Linked DNA regions of Coturnix japonica. The protein of the gene in region 1 purifies or fractionates together with the protein of each later gene. This does not show direct contact. Links are inferred from orthologs where the notes say so. Each region holds a gene or a part of one and is shown on either strand. Other genes may lie near its edges.

Region 1 (7,943 bases):
TGAATTAACTCTCAATGAATTATTAGAAGGATGCATGTGAAGTCAGAAGTGCATACATGTGAATGAGGAAGAGATCTATAGGCAGCTCATCACCTACATACAAAAATGTTTCTTCATACCTAAGAGTGTCCATGTGAACAAAGAATAATGGAAGAACAACAGAATTTCTGACATGAGAGGGAAGAACCTAGAATACATCCACCACCAAGGAGAGCAGAACAGACAACCCCTGACAGCCCATTACTCTTGGACCTGCTGTCAGAAGCACAGAACAAACATTCTGACATTTCAGATAGGACCTTGTCCCTATCACGGCTGCACTCATGACCACCAGATTACTCACATCATTGAGCACCTTCTCTGAGCAGTGAGAGTAAGAACCACTCAGAACCAGGCAGAGCTTTCCTTTGAGGTTTGTGGTCCTGCAGGACAGAACTGAACTGTAAATGCATCAGCCCTTCAAGTGCTGAAGCCATTACTTACTAACTCCTAGACAACGATGCATCTACACGTCCAAACCCTCCCTGATGGAGAACTGAAACTGTTCAGCACCACAAAACCGACTGTTCTCATCTGTAATTGTAAAGCAATAAGCAAAGCTTTTCAAGTGTGACTCAAGGAAAAAGCTGATCCAACAGGGCTGGCGGTGTGTCTTCTTATCATCTTCGGTCTGGTCCATAATTCCTGCATGGAAAGTTGTGGTTTCATATATATCTAAGTAATGCTATGAGAGGTCCTTAAGCATGAGGGATTTTCCTCCATCAAAACACTCAAGGTAAAGCCCATGACCTACAGAAGGTGACGGCAAAGCTTGTATTTATGTATTCATTCAGTACATTATATCACAAATAAAACAAATCAAGTCACTGGTCAAAGTCCCAAAGCCAAGATGACCAACCCCAATTTTACGCCACTCTACCTAAGAGCCAAAAGCTGGTTCTAGCTCCTGATCACCATTACAAGTTCAACACCAGCCCTTCAGACTTCTTCCTATTCCACTCCTCCAACAACACAATGCTCAGGTTTTGACTTCCTTTAGGCTTTACCAGCAGCAGCACATTCGCACTACAGCAAAGCTCTGCCTATAACAGCACGTACAGGCACAAAGCTACAGCTCAGCCCCTGGATGGAGGCAGAACAACACACCAGTAGGAGAGCTGAAATCCCATGGAAGCAAACACACTCCTGAACCCTTCACCAGAATTCCAGCATTAACAAATGTACGCTCATAATTACCTCTTCCTTCTGATTGGGAATTCAAATACAGGTACAGGAAATGGCTTTCCGACTACAAACAGCGCTTTGCAGCTATTTTATTAAGAACTCTGGATGTGAAGAACGCTGTAATGAAGGCTACAGCTCATCAAGGCTTATTCTCAGCAAAGGTACGCATTAAAAACAAATAGCAAGCAGCAAGCAGTGTCAAAATGGTCTTCTAAAGCATAATGCAGTAAAGCAGTATAAGTAAAAGAGGAGCAGCAGACACTTTCTGCCCCCTGCAGTTCCTACTGCTATCTGGATTTATAAGGCAGCCCTAGGAGGGATAGAACATTAGCAACCCAGAGACCCAACAATTTAACATCTGGCTCCCAAGCACCAACAGCCCAAACGTTTGGGTTTGCTTGTTGTTTTACAGCTAGGTTCATCTGAATAACAGTTAAATTCATCAATGCTTCCATTAATGATCAGCTACATCTTGTGAATGTTTGCTGTGCCAAATGAAGGATGCAACCGCCCCTGGTTTTTGGAACAGAAATTGCGAATCACCTTCTATCAAACCTTTATTTGACCTCATTGCTTTGATTAGAGCTAAGAATGAGAATTCTCACCATGAATTAACTGGTCCATCACCACGTCAGGGCTGTGCTCCTTATATATACATACACACAGTATATATATATAAAAGACGATATATCATCTTATATAAAGGACAACGGGTTGCCTTTTAGTTATCCCACTATGTATCCGAAAACAGAAAACGCTGCTATGAAGTTTGAGATGTAAATATAGGATACACATGGACAGCAAGGAAAAATCCTGCAGGGGAAGGATTCACATCCATGTACAGCAGGTAAGCACCATAACTGTTCCCATACTTCCTTCTACCTTTATGAATATAAGAATTCACCACCAAATGCAGGTACCCAAAACACTTCCCTGTATGTGATGATTTACTCCCACACATCTCAGGTTGGTAGAACTCAGAATCCAACTATTTCCAGACTGGAAATCTGCTTAAAAACAAAAGGCATTTTTAGCACGTATCTGGTAAAAGGATGTTTTCGATGAGATGATTTCGCAACCACCCCGTTCTGCCTTATGAGCCTGCCTGTCCTAAGAGTGTCACGGGTTACAAAGAGGTAAAGGTGGGAGCACAGATTGATTACAGCAAGCAATTACTATGGCTTAAAAAACAGCTGGCAATAAATACATGCATCACTAGTGATAGATTCCAGAAGAAACCCAACCAACAGCAGCCCATGGCTGTAAGGGATGCTCCTCATTCAAAATAATGGAAGCTGAAGTGTTCATCTTACTGATGAATTCTGGGTTTCCTTCTGCCATGTAACACAAGCAATATTCCTCTGAGACACCTTCTTACCCCACTCCTTCAGCAGCACACGTATGTTAAGCCCCACGTATGCTGTACCATAAACCCATCCGTATGTTGACATACCAAAGGTTAAATGAAACCCAATTCTGCCTAACATACTCCATAACACTGTCTTGCAGTGCGTTAGGGATGCAGAACACAACTTTGGCTGTACATTGCAGCGCTCTCAAGCAAGCCACTAACTTGATCATTTTCCTTCGGATTCCATTTTTTCCTCCCTTGAAATAAAACAGGGGACTCCCAGAGAACACAAAGCTCACACAGAGGGGCCGCTCAGCCCTGCAGCACACACCTACAGCTCCAGAGTTACCCACAGCCCAACAGGCCGTCCCAGCCCGCAGTTCAGCCGCACTGTTTGTTGCAGTCCCCTCCTCGGCCATTACCATCACCACCGATAGAAATCTGCAAAGTCACTTATTAGTACAAACTAGTTGATGGCACGGAGGGCAGCGGGAGGCTCTGCTCGGGCTCCTCAGCATTGTGTGGATTGCCGCACACAGGTGGGACGGTCACGTCTGTCCTCATCGCAGCGGATTCCGGTGCTGCGCTGCGCACTGCGTGCCCCGAACGCTCGCACCCCCCAGCTCGCTCCTTCTATCCCCCTCCGTGCCCTCCGCACTCAGTTCCTGCTCTCCCCCCAACCCCCCACTCTACCCGGAATCCCATTTTGCAACCGGATGACCACCGATCTTCAAAGGAAAAAAAATATATATACACACACACATATATATATATATATAAATAAACAGCAGAAATGCCCTCGTCAACTCCCCCCAGCCTCTCCCAGCCATTGTGCCTCCTTCCCCCACCCCTCCCTGCGGCACAAAGCCCCGCCGCGGGTCGGGCCGTGCCCATCGCCCCGGGGCTCTCCCCTCCCCCTCCTCCCCTCCCCGCAGCCTCCGCCGCGTTCCGGGAACAGGGCTCCGCACCTCCGGGGGGCGGCGGCGCTGCGGAACGGCCCCGGGGACGGAGAAAGGGGGCAAGGCGGAGCGGGGCAGGTGGCGGCTCTGAGCCCCAGCGCCGTGCCCGCACCGCGGGGGCACCCGCAGCCAACATCCCACCTCCCACCCACCCCCACCACCACCACGACCGCGTGCCGGGAACCGCGGGCCCGACGAGAGGAGGGGAAGGGAGAGCAGGGGGGTGGATGGGGCCGCCCCCGGTACCTTGCGCTTCCTGGTCTCGGCCGAACCGCTCCACACGAAGCACTGGTAAATGGCCCTCAGGTTCTGCTTCCAGTTCTCCACCTTGAAGCCGGTCACATGGCAGCACCCGGCCGCCGGCGGACTCATGTCAGACCCCCCCACATCAATCCTCCCGCCGACGGGCCGGGCCGGCGGGCAGCGAGCCGGCCCCTTCCCCCCCTCGGCGGCGGCGGCGGCGGCGGCGGCCGCGCGGGCACGGGCGCGGGCACGACACGGGGCGGCCGCGCGCCCCCCACAGCCACCACAGCCACCCCACCCTCCCTCCCCGCCGCCACCGCCCTCAGGGGCTGCGGCCCCTCCTCACGCCGCCTCCCGCCGCCTCCGTCCCCGCGGGCAGCCGGGGGGCGGCGGGCACATAGAGCCCCCGGCTCCGAACAAAGCGCGGCGCTGGAGGCGGCGGGCGGCGCGCTCCCCTCCCTCTCTCTTTCCCTGCCTCGCACACAAAGATGGGGCTCGCTCTGAGGCGAAGGAGGAGGAGGAGGAGGCGGCTGAGAGAGCGGCCGCTGCCGCCCCCGGAGTGGCCGACGCTCCCTTCTACCTTCATAGAAGGCGGAAGGGAAAGAAGAGCGGGGGGGGGGGGTGGGCCTGGAAGCGGCAGCGGCGGCTCCGGTGCGAGCGGAGCGTGTGTGTGTGTGGGGAAGGGCGAGTCTCCGCCCGCCGCCGCTCCCTCTCCGCAGCCGGCCGGCCCCGCCTCGGTCTCCTCGTCTCTTTAAACCTCCCCCCCCCGCCTCCTTCGCCGTCTCCTTCCTCCTCCTCCGCTCTCCCCGCACTCCCCCCCTCCGCCCGCGCTGTGCGCTGCTCCGAGCCGCTCACTCAGCCCGGCCCGGAGTGGGACAGACCAACGGGGAAGGGGCGGTAGGTGCACCCCCCCCACTGCCCCGCCACCCGCGAGGAGGGAGACGGAGAGGGAGGAAAGAAGCGCTGCCATTGGTTCGCTCGCCTGTCACTCTGCTGCCGAAGCGCCCGTCTTTGGCGTCTCATTGGTTGATTTTCTTTTCTCCCCTCCCCCCTTCTCCCTCCACCCTTCCTCCCCAGTATTTCCCCCTGCCGGAAAGGGGCGGGAACGACTTATCGGATTGACGGGGCATCCGGCCAATAGAGAGAAAGGGCGGCACGTTCGCTAAGAATGCCTCGCAACAATTGGCCATCCCGGCCGTCAATCTCACTCCAAGCTGTGAGCGGATTGGCTGCGGTGGGCTGAGGGGCGGTTCCACCCAGCGGCCTAGGCTATGGGGGCAGCGGTGGTGTCACATCCGCTGATCGCGGCCGCTTCGCTCTTACCTCAGTGATTTCCTGAGGGGCGGCGGGGTGGCCGGGTCGCAGCCGGGGCAGAGCCGCCCCCCCGGCCTGGTAGAGGCCCGACACGGGAACCTCAGCCCCGGCTGAGGGTTGTGAGGCCGCAGCGGCCTGCACTGAGATGAGGCGGCTCGAGGTGGGCAGCGCTGTGGTGCAGCAGGCCGCGCTGTGTTGTGCTCCCATTGGGAGCACTGAGAAGGAACGAAAACACCCTTAAAAAAGAACCCCAGCACCAGAAAGAGCCTTAATGTGGCGTTCCCTATCAATAGCCCTACAAGGCAGTGAGAATATAGTGCTAAATGCTCGAATCCGTGCTCGGCTCTGGTGTGCTCCACATGCTGTGGGGTTGCATAAGAGTGGAGTGAGGCAAGAGGAGGAGATGGGAACGGAGCAGCTTCTTACACAACCCTGGCAGCAATGCAGTGTTGGTACACACTCATTGACACCCTCTTACAGCAGGAATACCAGGCAGGTTTGTATGAGGTCCTCCCTGCTATCCCACCCTATTGCTTCAATGTACAGAACTCGATAACAAAGGTAGAACAGCCTAGCTGGTAATGTGAGGCTTAGGCTCAGTGACAAGGGAAAGGGGGGATGCAGGACTGGGGGGAAGAGCTGAGCTGATGCCCTCAGACTAAAGCTGCAGCAGAGCACCAGCATTGCTGTGTACTGAGACCTGTAACAGAGCTACGTGCTGTGAGGCAAACCAAGGAACAGCAGCACAGCTTTACTATTTGGTAACTATTTGCTGTCTATCCACAGCATGTTCTGCTGGCAGTAAGAGGAAGGTGAGGAAGAGCACAAACACAACAAGTCACCGTGTCAAAAGAAAGAGGTACAGCCACCCATCCCCTGCCTTGTGAGAGCCACTCAAACATCCCACAGCACAGAGGGATGTTAATCTTAAGGCAAGACGTATCTAAATGAATGGGATGGGTAATTGATGCCCTAATAGTATGTAGTATTTATTCTAATGAACCTGAGTGTTTTCCAATCAAAGAAAACCCCCAATATTACTACAGTCTAAATCCAAGTAGAGGGTTATTCTTTATTCTGCAACAACTCCATCTCGGGCTTTTCTCCATGGCTACCACATCAAAACAGGAGATAAAGATAAAAGAGAGAGATTCTGCCTGTGAAATTTAAGTCCATCTCTCTGAAGAAACAGGATATCAAAAAGACAATACAAGTGTTCAAATCCCTGCAGACACTGAAATTCTCACTGAGGTTTCCTTGCAGCTCTTTCTTGCAGAGTCATCATGTTTACTCCACGTAAGGTGCAGCAGTGTTTGTCTTATTCAGAAATGAAAGGAATCACGTCTCTATAAAGCATAATTGTTTCATTTTAAGAAGGGAGAACACCTGCAATTTGTTCTCCTCCCAAATAAATACTTCCTTTGGAACATACTATTTTTTCTCTCTGGCCAGTTCAGGAACAATTACAACATTCAAGCATTCCTGCTTCCTGAGGTTCCATGCACCCCCCATACAGTAAAGACAGCACAGCGACAAAGCACAGCAGTTCGAAGATAGGAACAGAAAACAGTTACACCATTCCATCATGTACTAATTTGCTAAATCAGGGCTTGCTTGCTACACACACACACACAACCGTTTATAAGTTTGCTGTAGTTTAATTTACTCTGGCTTGGGAACATCTCTAGAATGAAACCTTTTGGTGCAGCAGATGACTTGGGAAAGGATTTGCCTCTGGGGGCAGAAAACTGTTTCAATCCCTCCTGCATCTCTTGGAGGAATTCTGATATTAAAGCGCTGTTGCTGATGCTAATTAGAGCTTACCCCCAAATGACAATGGAATATAAATGTTGATAGTAGCTAAAACATACTGCAAACTCTTCCTCCAGAGAGTCATCTGTGTTACATGCTAACTCAGCTGGGAAGATGCAGAGTTCCTCCACATGAGGAACAAAAGCGACTGAATCCTCAGTCCTTGTCATCCCAAGGTGGCACTTCCAGCATTAATCCATCACTAACCTCACAACAGAACAGATTTATATGGTCCCAGCTACACCACCTTCTCTATAACAAAGATTTTGCTTTCGGTCCAATCCATTGGTAAAAGCATCTGCTATATTAGAGGTTTCTACCTGCCTACATCTGAGCAGGAGGGATGGAGCAGCCACTTCAACCCACAGCATTCAGTGGCAGCCAGTCCAGCTGCACAGGGCTGGCCAGACAGATGCTTATCAGTCCATGGAACACAAAGATGGGTGGATTTCAATGGGCTGAGCTGACTTCTCATTTCATAATTGACTCCTGAAGTTTTCCCTTGGGATCATAGCCCCCCCCCCCCGTATTGCTCATTTAAACCTACTGACAATACACTTGCTTGTCTTTGTGATCTTTTGCAGATCTCTTCTAAGTAGTGCATGGAATTCCAAGGATTCGTGCCCCTCAGGTAAAAAACACTCCTAGAAAAGCAGAATGGCTGCACTTCTTTATTCTGAGGACCATTTGTTATAGACTTCCCTTCGGCATCGTCATGGGATGAAACCTTGACCCCAACTGAACTCAACAGGAATTTTGCCACTGACTTAAACAGAGCTAAAATGTCACCCCTGCTATTTGTGAAGTCAGCTATATCCAGACAGCCCTTTAACATCCGACTTCCACCAAACACACAGAAAAGTTCACTTTTAGTCTGAAGGCAGCACAGAGCCCTGGTGATCTCATTAAAAAAAATAAGACATTTATTCCTGGCAAGCTGCTTGTAGCAAGGACAGGTCCATCCAGTGCTGCTATCAGAACCACATCACCATTCTTTACCATACAGTGAATGGCAGTAGCTGTCATTTTCCAGGAAGAAC
Region 2 (7,766 bases), on another chromosome or scaffold:
AGAGAAATCCATTAAGAAAACAACCATGTACATACACACCAAAAAAAAAAAATGAGAAAGTTAGGTTTCTTCCTACAGTGGATCCATATTAATAGTGGAAAGCTGAACACAGAGGAAGGAAGAGCTATCAGCCATATTATGGTAAGAATCTCCTGTTGAAATGGCAGTTGTATGTTACAGTTCCTTACTTATTCCTCATCAACTATGCTCTAAATTTACCTTCTGTTTTTATACCAGCCAAAATCAAATGTTAATCTCCTATTGTGTATTCCAAGAACTGTAACGTCAACGGTTTCAAATCACTGCGACCAGATGGCAACACATCCAGGAATACTAGAGGAATTCAGGGATGAAACATCTGAATAGCTGTGGTGAATCACCTCTTGCTTTAAAGTGCCACAGCCCATGAGAACCAGTAGGTAGAAAGTGTGAAAACACTCTTTCAATATATTTGGGGGGGAGGAAAAATGAAAAACTACAGGCTGGTAATTCTGTACTATTCTGGTACATCAGGGAAATTCACAGCAATGATAAGAACAGAGTTAGAGGACAGATGAGTAAATAAGATGCGTTCAGAAAGACTTCAGACAGCTCCTGTAAGTGGAAAACCTGCTTCACAAGGCTGCCACAGCCCTCCAAAGCCACTGACAAGCAAGTATATAAGAGATGTACATTGGAAAGCTAAGGACATTCCTCAGGGATCTGTGCCAGAGTCAAAGATTTTTTTGCACATACTTATCCACAGCCTGAAAAAAAAGCAGAAAAGGAACAGAGTCCTAATTAAATCTGCTGCTGGCACAGATTTCTGAAGGAGGTTGAAAAAAATCAGAACAACTGCAAAATAGCAGTAAATCAGGTTCTGCCTCCTCCACGCCACAAAAGGGATGTGGAAACGGGGATTACAGGTATGGTGTGGGGCAGAAGGCACTACAAAAAAAGAGAAGAAAAAAAAGCCAACCGAGGGGTTGATTTTGTTGATCAACAAAATAAAAGACAAGGCTGCGAGGTCTAAGGACAAAAATGAATAATGAGGAAACAGAAGAGAACATAGCTATATTGAAGAAACTTGTGGTCTAATTCAGGCTGGCCACTCTTCTTCCTATGAACAAACATACCTACACACTGCTTCCGAGACCTAAGTTATCAGGAAAGAAAATGGAACTAAAACATGCATTTAGTCTAACAACGTAACTCTGACAATGACACTTAAAAGGTATTGTAAAACTAAGCAATATCGTGTTTTATCAAGAAGAACAGTCCTCCCTCAATTGTTTTACCCACTAAAAACAAGCACTAACAAATCTTTTAACGTTATTCTTAATCCTGTAAGAATAGATGCTGTTCTTCATGTACGTGCATTAAAACAGCAAACACGCAACAGAAACCAAAAGCTTGCCTCCCAGAAAAGCAGAAACGTGTTTGGTTTAGCAGGCACACGGTTAAATTAGACTCTATACCACGACCCATAACAAATCAGTCGGCCACAATGCATTTCATGTCAAAACCGCCTATCTACACTTTGCAATCTAGTCCTTAAACTCCCCCATGTGGCTGACTGCTAAATAACATTTGTTTACCAGCACCATGGAGAGACCCAAGGGACAGCAAAAGTACAAAGCGGCCCCAAAATCACGGTTAGGGCCACTGAAAATTTAAAGTTAAAGCTGAAGGCACCAGGGAGGTCAGTACAGAAGACTGCAAGATACACAAGGCTGCTTCAGCTCTACAAACCGTAATACCATAAAGAGCAGGAGGCACAGGGCTCTAATTCATACTCACGGAATATCCCTTCACCCCTTCAGGCAAATCACTTTATTCCATCCCAGAAGGATGAAGGCGATGATTTAGGCTTACCTTCTGTTTCTGTACCAGCCAAAATCAAATGTTAATCCCCTATTGCGTATTCCAAGAACCGTAACATCAACAGTTGCAAATCACCAGGACCAGATGGCAACCCACCCAGGAATACTAAAAGAATTCAAGTTTGAAATATCTGAATTGTTATCCCAGCTGAAACCAGCGCAGCATGTAACTCTAAAAACAGCACTGAAGCCTGGCTCTGCTATCCAGACAGACTATGTTACCGACAGGAATGTCTTTCAGTTAAAATCACTGAATGCTACAAAGGCCATTAAAGATCCGATGCATTTAACCAATGATATTTTATGGATGTAAACTTTCCCCATCTGAAAAAAAATAAAAGGTATTGTTTTCTCCTATATCAAGTTTATTGGATCAGTCCTTAAGAACTGTGGGGATAAATCTCTGAATTTAAATGCACAGTCTAAGAGGAACCGTGAGATCCTGCAGGAAATAGAGCATCTCCTTATAAATAACACCAGGGTTAAAACATACGATGCCCCATTCAAGTGTTAAATTGGACATGAATGTGTGAATAATACGTATTTAAACATTTAATTGTAAATCTTTGTTGTGATGTTTACAGCCTAAGCTAGAAAGATGTTTGTCATTTTTACAGTGCCTCAGAAATGATTTCTATATCCATAGATGGGAAGAGCTTTGAGTAGTGTACATCAGAGGGTTGACAAGGAGGAGGTGACATTACTGTGTAAACAAAGATTGACTGCAAAGGAGCAATGCAACCTTCCTTTCTATTTCCTCAAGCCCATGGCTGGTGGAGCCAGCATTGGAGAGACGGGAACTCCCTTCACCAGCACTCACTGCCATATGTGACCAGACCACAAACACTGACAGTAGGATGAGATGGCAGCACCGTGAATCTTTGGGCACAGAGATCTTACAAGCAGTAATTAGCAAAGCATAATCTCAGAACCTAAAGATAATGGGCCAACAGCCAGTTGTGTATCTTCTGAATGGTGAGAACACAGACAGTCTAGCTGTAAGTGACCTAAATACAAAAGACTTTGCAGTCAATAACTAACTTTCTCAAAAGAACACTGAAGATGGCAAAACTGTTCACAAACATTAAGCTGAGTGCAGAAATCAGCACTATACATCTGCATTTTATGGATAGAAAGCAAAGACACATTTGTTTTAAACAACTTGTATGTTGTGTGCATCTCAACCTTTCTGTTCCTAGGCCTGCTTTATTCTTTACACACAATTCATCAGCCTTAGTGAACGGACAAAGCAACACATATATTTAAAAACACTCAGCTTTCCTGCAGCCAGGATTCATAGGATCATAAAGCTGGAAAGTCCACTAAGGTCATCTAGTCTAACCACCAACCCACCATCACCATGCCCACTAGTCATATCTTTCAGTGCCACATCCACACCTTCAACACCTTCAAGGATGGTGATGGCTCTACCACCTCCCTGGGCAGCCTTGTTCCAGCACCTCACTGCTCCTTCCGAGAAGAAATTTTTCCTAATACCCAACTTGAAAAGAAACAAGGAAATACCACACATACCTGTAGAAATCGCTCTCTGGGTCACTGTGCCTCAACTGGAATGGCATTTTGGGGGGCTTGCTGTCCAGAGGAAGCAGGTCATCAGGAAGAGGTGGGGAGGCCGGACGAGAGGGCAGAGGTTCGTTGTCTTCTGTCTTGATGCCCTCCGCTTGCTGCTGATTTTGTGCCTGGGCCATGGCGATGAGGCTGCGCAGCCGCCGGTTGTGCTGGATGAGCTGGATGGTGTGGATGGTGAGGCTGCAGGGCTCGGAGGGGACGTCCAGCATGGTGGTGGGCCGTGGTTTGTTGGCTGACGGCTGGTGCAGAGGAGGGTCCTGAACCTCCACCGTGCGGAACTCACGCTGGAGGAGGTCGAAAGAGCTGCGGTTGGCCTGGTTGGATGGCACCGGGATCTCACCCCAGTAACGCAGCATTTTAACACAGTATTGTCCTCAGAGTGCAGGGAAGGCACCCAGACACAGCAGGACGAGCTGCGGGGAGAAGCTCTTGGCTTTGGGCAGCAACAAACTGGTGCTGGCCTCGGAAACGAGCAAATAACTGATGTCAAGAAAACCCTTCCAAAGTCACCGTGAGAAACGCAGCTTTCAAGACAGCACAGCTGCCTCCCCTAAGGAGGGGGAACAAGAAAGCAAAGCAGCAGCGAGGGGGGCACGACTTCTAAGCAGCGCAGCGCAGCCCCAGTCCCGCCCTGGTGCCAGGGAACCCGGCGGAGAACAAGGCCGCACGTTCGGCCCCACCTCGATCACGACCCCGCCGTACCGCACGGCCCCGGTCCGTCGCCAAACGCGGCTCCCGCCGCACTTCCGCAAGGAGTGCGGAGCTCCCGCTGCAGCCTCCGCCCTTCTCCGCTCCTCCCGCCGCCCCCTGCCGCTCTCACCCCACTCTCTGCCCACAGCCGTGGTCGAAGCAACGGTGCGAACCGCAGCGCTGAGCCCCTTCCACCATCCGGAACCACAGCCCCGACGGCGCTCGTTCCCGGAGGACCCAATTTAGGATCGGACGCGACAAGATGGCGGAGGCCATGGAAACGGACAGCCGGCCTGCCGAGTTCAAGCGGCCGAGCGTCCCGCTGCCCGCTCCGCACAGCAGCGAGCCCAGCCCCGCACCCAGCCCCAGCCCCGCGCCGCCCCGTCCGGCCGCCTCCGCGCCGACGCCGCGCTACGAGGAGCCGCCGTGGGGCAGCCGGCCGCCCGCTGACGCCGGTTACGGGCTGGAGGTGCTGAAGGGCGGCGTGCTGCTGGGCTCGGTGCGGCTGGATGGCGGCAGCTGGTTCCTCGTGGGCCGCCTGCCCGGCTGCGCGCTGGCCCTGGAGCACCCGTCGGTGTCGCGGCACCACGCCGTGCTGCAGTACCGCGGCCGAGCCGCCGACGGGCCCGACGCCGATGCCGGCTTCTACGTGTACGACCTGGGCAGCACGCACGGCACCTTCCTCAACAAGGCGCGGGTGCCGCCTCGCACCTACTGCCGCGTACGGGTGGGCCACGGGCTGCGCTTCGGAGGCAGCTCCCGCCTCTTCCTTCTGCAGGTGGGTCGGGAGAAGGGTCAGACACTGCACAGCGGCTTCCCCGGGCCGCACGGGGAAATTCGGGCGGCTCTGCCCAATCTCAAGGGCTTGGAGCTTGTGGGAGATGCTTCTGAGACGTGGGGTGCTTTGGCTGCACGTGCATCTCTGAGCGGGCTGCCCCATCCATAGTGGTGTCAAGGCTGGGTTGGATAGGGCCCTGTGCAGCATGTGATGATGGAAGCAGCCCTGTCCATGGTATGGGGTTGGAAATGAGAGGACTTTGAGATCCCTTCCATCCCAAACCATTCTGTGATTCCTTGTGCCAAAAGAGAGCTTGTATTGGTAGGAGTCTAGAAACACTCAGACCGTTTAACTCAGAGGGTGTAGCTGCATGTTCCTCAAGTGCTTCTGTGTGGCACTGGTGGATATCCTTGCTGTCTGCCTTTAAATACAGCTGTGCTTGAGGTGCCTCAACTAAACAGTAATGCTTATCTCTTTTTGCCCCCTTCTTTGGCCACTGAAATTGATATATCCGAGCATGCAGGCTATAATAGTCCAGTAATTCAGCTTTTACATGAGCACTATGATCTGTTTATCTTTCTGTCTGTAATTTGCATGTCCACTGAAAAGACAAGGTTGTTTTTTTTTTTCATTCCGAAACACTCATAGAGTTGCTCTTTGTGACATAGGGACCTGAAGAGGACCAGGAGTCTGAGTCGGAGCTGACTGTGACACAGTTGAAGGCACTGCGGAAGCAGCAGCAAGCAAAGCTGGAAAAGACCATGCTGGGAGACGACTCTGATGAGGAAGATGAAAAGGAGGAGCAAGGAAATGAAGGCAGTCAGAACGTTGATATGAGCTGCTCATGGGGAATGGGTGAGTACTGACACAGAGATGAGCTGATACAACTTGGGAGCTTTTTATGTGAGTTTTCAGTGAGCTCAGGCATTGAAATTCCAGTTGGATTTCCAAGTGTCCAAAGCCAGTGAAAGTTTTTGACTACAGATCAGCCTATTTCTTTATAAAAATAGGAATTCTGTGAGAAGGCAAAACAGAGAGAGAACAACAATAGAGGGTTTTTTTCCTAAAACTGGGGAAAAGGGGGCTTGTCTAAACTTCAAAAGCAACATGGAACTGTGTATAGTTCATGCTATAACAGAAGCTATTAAAGGTTATAATCTTAGGATGATACAGCTGATGCTCCTTTCAAAATGACTGTATTTGTTTCCTGGTGTTCTCATTCTAACTTTTCACCACTTTGTTTGTACTTGCTCTTCCAGGGGAGGATGCTGAGGAGGATGAGGTTGAAGAAAACCCTATTGCTATTGACTTTCAGGATGTACAAGATGCCTTCTATATGAAAGATCCCAGGAAGGCTCTGCAGGGCTTTTTTGACAGAGAAGGTACTTCTTTCTTGTAGATTATTTTTCTTTAGTAGAGTTTGGTGTTTCCTATTTTTCTCTGGGAATTAAGGTGCGAAAGCAAAAACTTTATAGGTGGGGCTTTTTGTTTTGTCAGGGTTTTGGTGGTTATTTAATTTCTAACTTGTAATCTGGAGGCTGCAGAGAGCACCTTGTGTGGCTCTGGAGTGGCACTCAAACCACATCCATCTTTTGAAGCTATTGAAAAGTCCTAAACCATCCAATTGCAGATAGCGCTATTCAGAAGATAGAACTGGAAAGTATTGGAAAGTATTGAAAGACAATGAATTGACGTAAGCTTCCATTGGTAGCTAGCAAAACTTACAGAAGACTTAAGTGTTTTTTAAATGTGAAAAATTAATCTTTGAGATAGTATTTGTGAATCCAAATTGCAAACTGTCACTTCCTCAGTATTATTTACTTTTATATCTACAGGTGCAAGATTGCTTTTTCTTTGAAATATGTTTTACCAAACAAGTCACTTAAAGGTCCTTGATCTGAAAAAAAACCTTGATTGTGGAAAATGTCCAAATGAGCTTATTATCAATTGAAGATCACATCAGACTTTCTCTGCTCTAAAGATTATACTTTCTTATTTCATTCTTGCTAACTACATCAACTTCCTTTTTTTTCCCTCTCCAGGAGAAGAGTTAGAGTATGAATATGATGATCGTGGGCACAATAGCTGGCTATGCAGGGTTAAGTATGTATAACTTCATTCACTTCCATATGTAGAAACTGGCTTCATTGAATTCAGCAACAAAAGCTGAAGGAACTAGTTGTCTATCACACTTGCCAAGGAATTCAGCTGGAATTAGGCTTAAGGACTGATACTAAAAAGGTCAAGGATCAGTGTCTACTTTAGTGTCAACTCCTTTTTCTGGTTAGTTATCATTTGGTACTACTAAGAGATGAACACTGAGAAAACATGACACCAGGTGTATGGTGACAATAATGTAAAGATGGTAGTAAATATCCAAAAGGTTATTTACAAGGGAAACTCACCAATATGGATGCCTTCGGTCTGCCAGGAAACACTGAGGCAATCTCCACCAGGGAGCAGTCTCCAAGAGATGCTGCCTTAGTGGTGGTCATCCCTTAAATGAGGTCTAGAGGAGGTGGAGTCAAGCTCCACCCCTTCCAGGAGCACAGCTAAATTACTCTCTCCTGTGCTCCCACAGCTGACCTGACACTTGCCTCAGCTGATTAATCAGAGGTTCAGGCTGTGATTACCAATTTCCCATACACCAGGTTCTCTCAGTTCCCCTTGTTTTGAGAAATATATGAAATTGAAATGCAAGACAAGAAACTAGGAGACAGTGTTTTAATTCCTAATGGAAAAGAAGATGGAAAAAAGCATTTATTCTACTGTGCACCCCAGTTTGGTTATTTGATGGTATAACGTAGTTTTTGTTGAATCCCTTCCACTGGCCAGTAACGTCATTC

The links. Proteins that work in one complex are often made in the same cells at the same time.
Region 2: the proteins of USP22 (region 1) and SUPT7L purify together in Homo sapiens (affinity purification with mass spectrometry; 3 studies listed by BioGRID and IntAct, with this or other methods). This does not show direct contact. The link is inferred for Coturnix japonica from reciprocal best matches to the Homo sapiens genes USP22 and SUPT7L.

The regions. Positions count from the first base shown.
Region 1 is NC_029529.1:4,590,875-4,598,817, reverse strand, and holds the start of USP22 (ubiquitin carboxyl-terminal hydrolase 22), read right to left. Parts: upstream 3,988-7,943; 5' UTR 3,907-3,987; coding exon 3,781-3,906; intron 1-3,780. UniProt on the Homo sapiens protein: Deubiquitinase that plays a role in several cellular processes including transcriptional regulation, cell cycle progression or innate immunity.
Region 2 is NC_029518.1:24,842,785-24,850,550, reverse strand, and holds the start of SUPT7L (STAGA complex 65 subunit gamma), read right to left. Parts: upstream 4,143-7,766; 5' UTR 3,809-4,142; coding exon 3,396-3,808; intron 1-3,395. Other genes in the region: SLC4A1AP (kanadaptin), read left to right, coding at 4,405-4,920, 5,589-5,775, 6,180-6,302, 6,963-7,023.